Linked DNA regions of Mus musculus. The protein of the gene in region 1 interacts with the protein of each later gene in a biochemical or structural test. Links are inferred from orthologs where the notes say so. Each region holds a gene or a part of one and is shown on either strand. Other genes may lie near its edges.

What was found.
Region 2: the proteins of Mapk3 (region 1) and Ptpn7 form a complex in vitro, tested with the Homo sapiens proteins (3 studies listed by BioGRID, with this or other methods). The link is inferred for Mus musculus from reciprocal best matches to the Homo sapiens genes MAPK3 and PTPN7.

Annotation. Positions count from the first base shown.
Region 1 is NC_000073.6:126,758,338-126,762,723, forward strand, and holds the start of Mapk3 (mitogen-activated protein kinase 3), read left to right. Parts: upstream 1-1,288; 5' UTR 1,289-1,308; coding exon 1,309-1,481; intron 1,482-2,393; coding exon 2,394-2,576; intron 2,577-4,386.
Region 2 is NC_000067.6:135,138,980-135,142,788, forward strand, and holds part of Ptpn7 (tyrosine-protein phosphatase non-receptor type 7), read left to right. Parts: intron 1-144; coding exon 145-299; intron 300-2,963; coding exon 2,964-3,077; intron 3,078-3,809. UniProt on the Homo sapiens protein: Protein phosphatase that acts preferentially on tyrosine-phosphorylated MAPK1. Plays a role in the regulation of T and B-lymphocyte development and signal transduction.

The DNA.
Region 1 (4,386 bases):
CACATTCATGCTATAGCATGCTTGTGTTGGTTGGAGGAAAACCTGCAGGAGCTAATTCTCTACTTCCATTGTGAAGGTCCCAGAGATCCAACTCAGATCTTTGGGCTTGCTTGGCAAGCATCTTTACCTACCCAACCATCTTACCAGCCCAGCGTGGGGGGAGGGGGGGACAGAAAGACAGAGACAGACAGAGACAGAGAAAAGGTGACAGTGAATTTAAATTGATTTAGTTACCTTTGTCCACAGCTACCACCCTTTCCCTCCTTCTCCCGTGAAGTGAGCTGGGTTGCACGTCCTCTGGGCAATCAGGCAGAGGATTTGTACGACACTGGGGCCTCAGCACACACCTGAGCCCCCCTGCAGGCCTGTGTCTTCACACTGGAGTCAGGACCGACTTCACAGCTTCACAGTGCTGCCTGCCGTCCACCACCCTCCAGATTGCTTCCTCATTATAAAACGTAAGATATACTCCCTCAGCAACTCAGGGTGGCCCACTCCTACCAAGTCTGACAGCCTGAATTGGACACCTGGGACCCACATGGTGGAAGGAATCAGATGTCCTCTGACCTCCACACAGGCTCTGTGACATACTTACGCTCCAACACACAAAATTAATAAATGTGGCAAATAAACGAATAAGAAATTATGGAAGCTGGGCATGGTGATACATACAGCTTCTAACTAATCCTAGCACTGGCGAGTTAGTATGTTGAGGCCAGCCTGGTTACCTAGTCTACATAGTGAGTTCTGGAACAGCCAGTTCCATGTCAAGAGACCCTCTTAAAAAAGAAAGAGAGAGAGAAAAGAAAGGATGGAGATGTGGCTCAGTGGTAGGATGCTTGCCTAGTAGCATCCTGAATCTGTATGATGGCTCAGGCCTAAAGGCAGGAGGATGTGTTCAAGGCCAACCTCCACCACATAGAGAGCCTTTGGGGCTAGCCTGGATTACCACTATCTGTTTAAATGAAACAAAGATGTGAGGCAGGTCTTCAAAGGTTAACTGTAAGCCGGGTGGGTTCCCTTAGCATTACTGAGGGCCACTGGCCCCTGGGGCTGCAGAACTCTCTTGGCAGACTAAAGTACCCTAGTGGCCAAGGCAGGGAAGGAACAGCGTAACTAGGCGGGAAAGCCGGGTGCGCGCCCAGGAGACCATGTGACGTCTCGGGCCCGCGCAGGCTCGCCCGGCAGGCGCGGGGGCGGGACGCGCGGGGGCGGGGGCGGAGCCTGGCGCGCGGCCCCGCGGTGACAGGGCGGTAGGGAGGGGCGGGGCCGCGGGCGGGGCAGCGGGGGGAGGCGGGAGGAGTGGAGATGGCGGCGGCGGCGGCGGCTCCGGGGGGCGGGGGCGGGGAGCCCAGGGGAACTGCTGGGGTCGTCCCGGTGGTCCCCGGGGAGGTGGAGGTGGTGAAGGGGCAGCCATTCGATGTGGGCCCACGCTACACGCAGCTGCAGTACATCGGCGAGGGCGCGTACGGCATGGTCAGGTGAGGGGGCGTCCCGGGAGGGGGCTTCGGAGCAGGGACAGCAGGTGTGTGCTCGGGACATGGGGGGCTCAGGGAGTGTCGCAGGGGAAGTATCGTGCAGTGACTTCTGGAGGACTAGGCGCTACTTTCTCCAGGGAGGGGGGTTGGAGGCTTTGAAGCCACCTTGTATTGTTAAGGGAGGGGCACCTGGGGGACCCTAGAGATAAAGGTGGAGCTAAGAGGATGAAGGGGGAGTGAGGGACCCACGAGCAGGTAGTGGGAGCCTTGGTTCCCCCCTGATGAGGCTGTGACAGAGAGTTTGAGAGAGGAGAGCAAAGCTCAGGGTGGGGCAAACCTTTGCACCTCTGCCCCTGGCAAGGCTAGGGGCCCAAAGTAGGGAAGGGTCTCTAGAATGTGCCTTATTTTGTGGTATACGGGTTTGTGAGTTCTCGCTGCCCCACTGTGTGCTCTGCTCTGGGCCTTTGTTCCTATGGGAGCAGCTCTGACCCAGGAACCGCACAGGGAGACCTGCCTGCCCCTCCTTATCTCTTCTCTCCTGTCCCATTACTGAATCCTCTAGGCTTCATCTACTTTCTCCATTTAACTCCTATCCCCTGGACCTGTCTGGGATTGAGAGAGTCCAGCTTGGGAAAGGGGAGGAGGGTGAGGGCAACTAGAATGTAAGAGGGTCCAGGAGAAAGGAAGTCGGTGAGTGGCCACTCTCTTCCTCTGTTTGTGAAGTCACTGAAAGGCTGCCTGGCTGATACCCAGCTTTCCCCTGGAGATCCCAGGCCTTCACAGCAGGAAGGAGCCAGCATTGTTTACATTTGGCCAGAACCCTCTCCTCCTCTCTCCAGTCCCTGCCAAGACCTGGGTGGGGCCAACAGGCCTGGATTCCCCCTTTGTAAGGCCACATCTCTCTGGCCCTCTCAGCTCAGCTTATGACCACGTGCGCAAGACCAGAGTGGCCATCAAGAAGATCAGCCCCTTTGAGCATCAAACCTACTGTCAGCGCACGCTGAGGGAGATCCAGATCTTGCTGCGATTCCGCCATGAGAATGTTATAGGCATCCGAGACATCCTCAGAGCGCCCACCCTGGAAGCCATGAGAGATGTGTATCCTTCACCTTAGCCACAGCCCCAGAGTAAAGCTAGGGAGCTTGGCTCTGTTGTCTGTGGTCATCTTTTGTACTACCCTCCAAAAAAAAAAAACCCCAGCAAAGTAACTTTTTAGCAGAGAGTCTACAGAGCATGAGAGCACACTGGCAGGCCTTGGATCCTGGTCTGTCGCAGCCAAGTGGAGTGGCCTTGAACACATCCCTTTCTGCTCTGTGCCCCAGTATGGTGTGTGGGGAGGGAGAATGCTGTGGAAAAAACGATCTCTATGGGAGCTTTGTCTTCTGACATCTGCAGGTCTGTGACATGACCCAGTCTCTGCCCACAGCCTGTTCTTGCTCAACAGACTCACGATTCTTTCTTTAGAGACCTCACACTGGATGGAAAGCAAAGAAGAAAACCGGTATTGGGCAGGCCTAGTGCTTTGGTTCTAATTCAACCTTCTAGCTTCCCTGTGTGACGGATGAGTTTTACTGTGTCCATTTCAAAGATAAGGAAACCGAGGCTCCTCTGTGTTAAGTTTTGCAGTGCCTTCTAGGGGGAAGGGGAGTGGGCGATACTTAATCCAACATGGAGGCAGTGGAGGCTTTCAAACCACATTGTATTGTTAAGAGGGGGAACCTGAGGACCCTAGAGTCACAGGGTGGAGCCAAGCCTTTGCACTCCTGCCCCTGGCTAGGCCGGGGGCTCAAGGAAGGGTGAGGGGCCCTGAGAGTCTGCCTGAATTCGGCAGTTCCTGTTAGTAGCTTCCTCTTCTCCCCCAGTTGGCTTCCCTGGAGCCTTCCCACCTTTCTGAGAGCCCCACCCTGATCACCTGTGGACTTGTACCTTGACCAGGGAGGTTAGTCCAGCCCTTGTTGCCCTTGCTTGACACTACTTGCCTAGTTCAGACATCCAGTTCATTGTCCATATCTACTTCCTGCCTGGCTCCATTGTTAGCAGACGGTAGCACCCATGGCCTTTTCCCTACCCACCCCTCCCAATGCCAGGATTTGTTCTACAGCCTCTGCAACTCTGACCACAGGAAATCGACATACTCCCGTCTTGCTGCATGACCTTCAGCAGGTCTCTGCATCTCTAGACTTGCACATTTATAAAGCAGCAGGGTTGGTCCCTGTGTGTATATATCTGCAGGTGCTTATTCCCTCGTTTCTTCTTTTTGAGAAAGGGGTCTTGCTATGTAGATCAGGCTAGCCCTGAGCTCACAGGGATCCAACTGCCTTTGCCTTGGGGGTGACACCAGCCCCAGTTTACATGTCTTCTATAGAAGACAGTTCAGACTTCAGTTTTTTTTTTTTTTTTTTTAAGAAAGTTTCACAGTGTATCCCTGGTTGGCCTCAGGCTAACTTTGTAGACCAGACTGGCTTTAAACTTCTAGGCAATCCTCTAGCCCCTGCCTCCCAAGTGCTGAGATTATAGGAGTGAGGTGCTCTACCCAGCTCCTGACTATTCTTCCAAAGATAAGCCATTTGTTTTTGCTTAATCTTTGTTTTACCTTCAAGTATAAAAGGACTCTTAGTTCCCCACCTTCTGGTGTATGGTCAAGCGCTCTGTGGGAGCGCACTGTTGGGGAGTGTCTTCCTCACTTTCTGGCACAAATCATCCCCATAAGGCAGGCATTTATTTTTAAGCAAACAGTTACTGTGTGCCAGATGGTATTCGTGCATTATCTCGTTTAACCCACTCAACAGCCGCATGGCTCTGCCCGTGGAGTAACAACACTACTTCTTGTTTGCTTCTCCGAGAGCATTTTCTGCTCACAGCCACCCTCTGAAGAACACTTACTCTCCCTGCTTGTCAGATCAGGAGA
Region 2 (3,809 bases), on another chromosome or scaffold:
CCTGGGCTAAGCTGAATAGCAAAGTAGCCAGGAGACTCACCCCTGCATGCTGCATCCCACTGTGCATGATTGATCGATAGATCACAGCACCCACACCCACATCCCACGTCTTGAGCCTTATTCTCCTGGTTTCTCACACCCCAGCACCAACAGGAATGCCGTTCAGTGAAGCACATCCTCTTCTCAGCCTGGCCAGACCACCAGACTCCAGAATCAGCGGGGCCCCTGCTGCGCCTGGTGGCCGAGGTGGAGACTCCAGAGACAGCTGCCAACTCCGGGCCTATAGTGGTTCACTGCAGGTAGGGACTTCCCTGGTCCCAGCGCAGATCCAATGCTTGCCTTCTCTGCTCACTAAGTCTCTGGTGTGGAGGCATCCAACGCCACACCAGACAGACCCAACTCTTACCTAGACAGAGCTCTGGCTTGTGGGAAGTTTCTAGTGAGGTAGAAATGAGATAAACTCCGTCCCCACTGTTGAGGAGCCCGTTTAGGCACCAGATAACATTTTCGTTGGCTTAGGTCTTTTAGTGTTGGGATTGGTTTTGTTTTTTGCTGGGTTTGTTGTGTTGTTTGGTTTTTTGTTTTATTTTTTGTTGTTGTTGTTGAGACAGGATCCCTCTTTGTGCCCAAGGTTAGCATCAAACTCATGGCAATCCTCCTGCCTCAGCTTCTCAACCTCTCAATCTCAGTTTGGGATTACAGGCATGAACTGTAACGGGCTTATTGGAAACCTATTATTGCTATCATCAGGCACAATGTTAAATACTAAGACGATAACGGTGAACAAAACAGTTTAGTTTCTTCCCGGGCAGGTTAATAGACTAGTCAGAAGAGTAGCAGATTAAACAATGAAGCAGACCACAATTCAGAGAGAGCTAGATGGAGTAGTATAGAGGCCACAGGGTAAGGTCACCTAATACCTGAGAGAGAATAAGCCTCTGAAAGGGGGAAAGGAAAACGTTCAGGCAGAGAACCTTATATGCTCAGGAAATAAACTTTAAAACAAAACAAAACAAAACAAAACAAAAAAGATACACTGTCAGGAGGGTCAGAGAGGAGTCCCAAGCTTGTGGGTGGGTGGAGCTTGTTGTGGGTGGAGCTTTGGGGGGCTTTGTGTGGGTGGGGCTTGGTGTGGGTGGAGCTTGTGGGTGGAGCTTGTTATGAGTGGTGCTTATATGTAGGGACACTGATGGAAAACAGTATGGAAGGCAGCTAAGGGCTTCATGAATCGGACTTGCATGATTGGCTAAGACACTTAGATTTGCCATTTTGTTTTGGGTTTTGTGATGCTGAATCCAACACCCCAAATCTACCATTTAAAAGCAATGCCTGGGGCCGGGCACAGCGGCATATTCCTGTATTCCCAGCACCTGGGAGGTAGAGACGGGAGTACCAGGAGCTGAAAGCCTATCTAAAGTACATAGGGAGTTCCAGGCCAGCCTGGGATATATGATGTTTTGTTGAGAGGGAAAGAGAGGAGGAGGAGGAGGACGAGGAGGAGGAGGGAGAAGCAAACAGTACACACAGGGCATGCTTGGACCCATGCAGAGGGCGCGCGCGCACACACTTCAGTGCTGGAAGTCACTAGTGGCTTCTACACACCCCAGTATACACCTCCTTCTACTGAAGGCACATGTAAGACTTATGTGGGGAGCTGAAAGCCAGAAAGGGCAAGAAGGGGAGGGGGTGTGGGAAGAGAGAAAGGTGATGGAGCTGAGAAGAGGATAATGGGATGGGGGCCCTGGAGCATCTGTGGAAGCTCACATGGAGCTGGGAGGAGGCTGTGGTCAGAGAAGGAACGCTCTGGGGGACAGCCATTGCACAGGCAGGTGCTGTAAACAGATGTGATCACCACCGTGTGCGCTGGACTAGGGTGTGGCAGAGCACACTTGAGGCCGAAGCAGTAAGACTGCTAATCAAAGGTCAGTCCTGGCTACATGACTAGACCCTATTATCAAAAAGAAAAGAAAAATCAGGGGTCACCACGGTGCCTCCATGGGTAAAGGCACCCGCAGTCAAGCCTGACATCTGAGTTCAATCTCTGGGCCCTACATGGTTTAAGGACAGAACTGACCCATGAGAGGTCTCTACTGGAGCTTCACATAGGTACAGTGATGTGTGTGCATGCATGCACACACACACACACACACGCACACACACACAGAGAGAAAGAGAGAGAGAGAGATTAAAATAAATAAAAATATAAAAGAAAAAGAAAGAAAAAACAACTGGAAAAAGTACAAATCTGGGCTTCAATCCCAGCAATTGGGAGCAGAGGCAAGCAGATGGCTGTGAATTTGAGGCCAGCCTGGTCTACCCAATAAGTCCAGGGCCAGCAAGGGCTACAGAGAGAGAATCTGTCTCAAATAAACAAACTAACAAAAAAAAAAAAAGACTTGATATGGTGGCACTCTTCTGTAACTCTGACTGTCCTGGACAACCAGGACTCAGGAGGCTGAAGCAGGAAGATTACAGTGAGTTTAGGATAGATAGTAAGTTCCAGGCTTCCCTGGACTTTAGAGTAAAACTCTATCGGGGGTGGGGTGGGGTGGGTAATCCCAGAACTTGAGAGGAAGAGGCAGGTGGATCTCTGAGTTCAAGGTCAGCTTGCTCTACATAGTGAGTTCCAGGACAGCCATAGTGAAATCCTATCTTTAAAAACATTAATTAATTAATTAATTAATTAATTAATTAATTAATTAATTAATGGTGAGCTGGACTAGGCATAGAGTGAGAGTAATAAGGGCTTACAGACTTCTCCTGCGTAAGCTGGTTTCTGCCTCCACCAGGGATCCCAGGGATGCTGGAATCGGAGATGTGCAAGTCCCACCCCACAAACAGAGCACTTTAATACCATTTCTTCTTTCATCACGTGAAGCCTTGCCTCAACCTTCCATGCTCACTTGTCTCCCCCATTCCCTGGTCTCCTGTGACCTCCCCATCCTCTCTCTGGTTCCATCCAGTGCAGGGATCGGCCGGACCGGCTGCTTCATCGCCACCCGCATCGGCTGCCAGCAGCTGAAGGCCCGAGGGGAGGTGGATATTCTGGGCATCGTGTGCCAACTTCGACTAGACAGGTGGGTCCATGGGAAACAGGTGTGGGCGGCCACAGTAATTGACAAGGACATTGGTGGCTCCGAGGTGCACATCACCTGCAGGTCCTCCTGGAAGAAAGCAAGGAACTTGTTTTATTCAAAAGAACTTTCTAGTTTGCCAATAACTAAGCCCACATGAAAGATGGTCTGAAATGTTAGCGTGGGGGCCTGGAATTAAATATGTCACCCTGAATTTTCCCTCAATCTCTCCTGGCCCCCAAATTCTCTACTCAGGAGAAAGCTAGGGAACAAGTTAAACAAAGGGTAGTATGATGCTGCATGTTTGTAAACCCAGCACTCAGAAAGCAGGGGCGAGGGTGGGGAATGTGAGGTCAGAGCCTTCGCTTGCTGCTTAGTTAGCTCAAGGCCAATGAGGCTACAGAGGGCAAGCGTCTTGACTTTTTTTTTTTTTTTTAAAGAAAAGATACAACTTGTTCTAGATACAAAGTAGCTATGGGTATAGTGGTATTCACTGGGCTTGAAGATGGAGAAGCCAGTTCAGACTCTGGGGTATATGCTACTAGCTGCTACGGTAATTCTGTAGCCACTCCCCCAATACACACACCCTTTTTTTTTTTTTTTTTTTTTTTTTTTTGAGTCAGAGTCTATGTATTCCTGGCTATCCTGGAGCTCATTGTGTAGACTAATCTGACCTCAAACTCACAGCCTGACTCTGCCTCCTGAGTGCTGAGATTTAAGGTGTACACCACCACT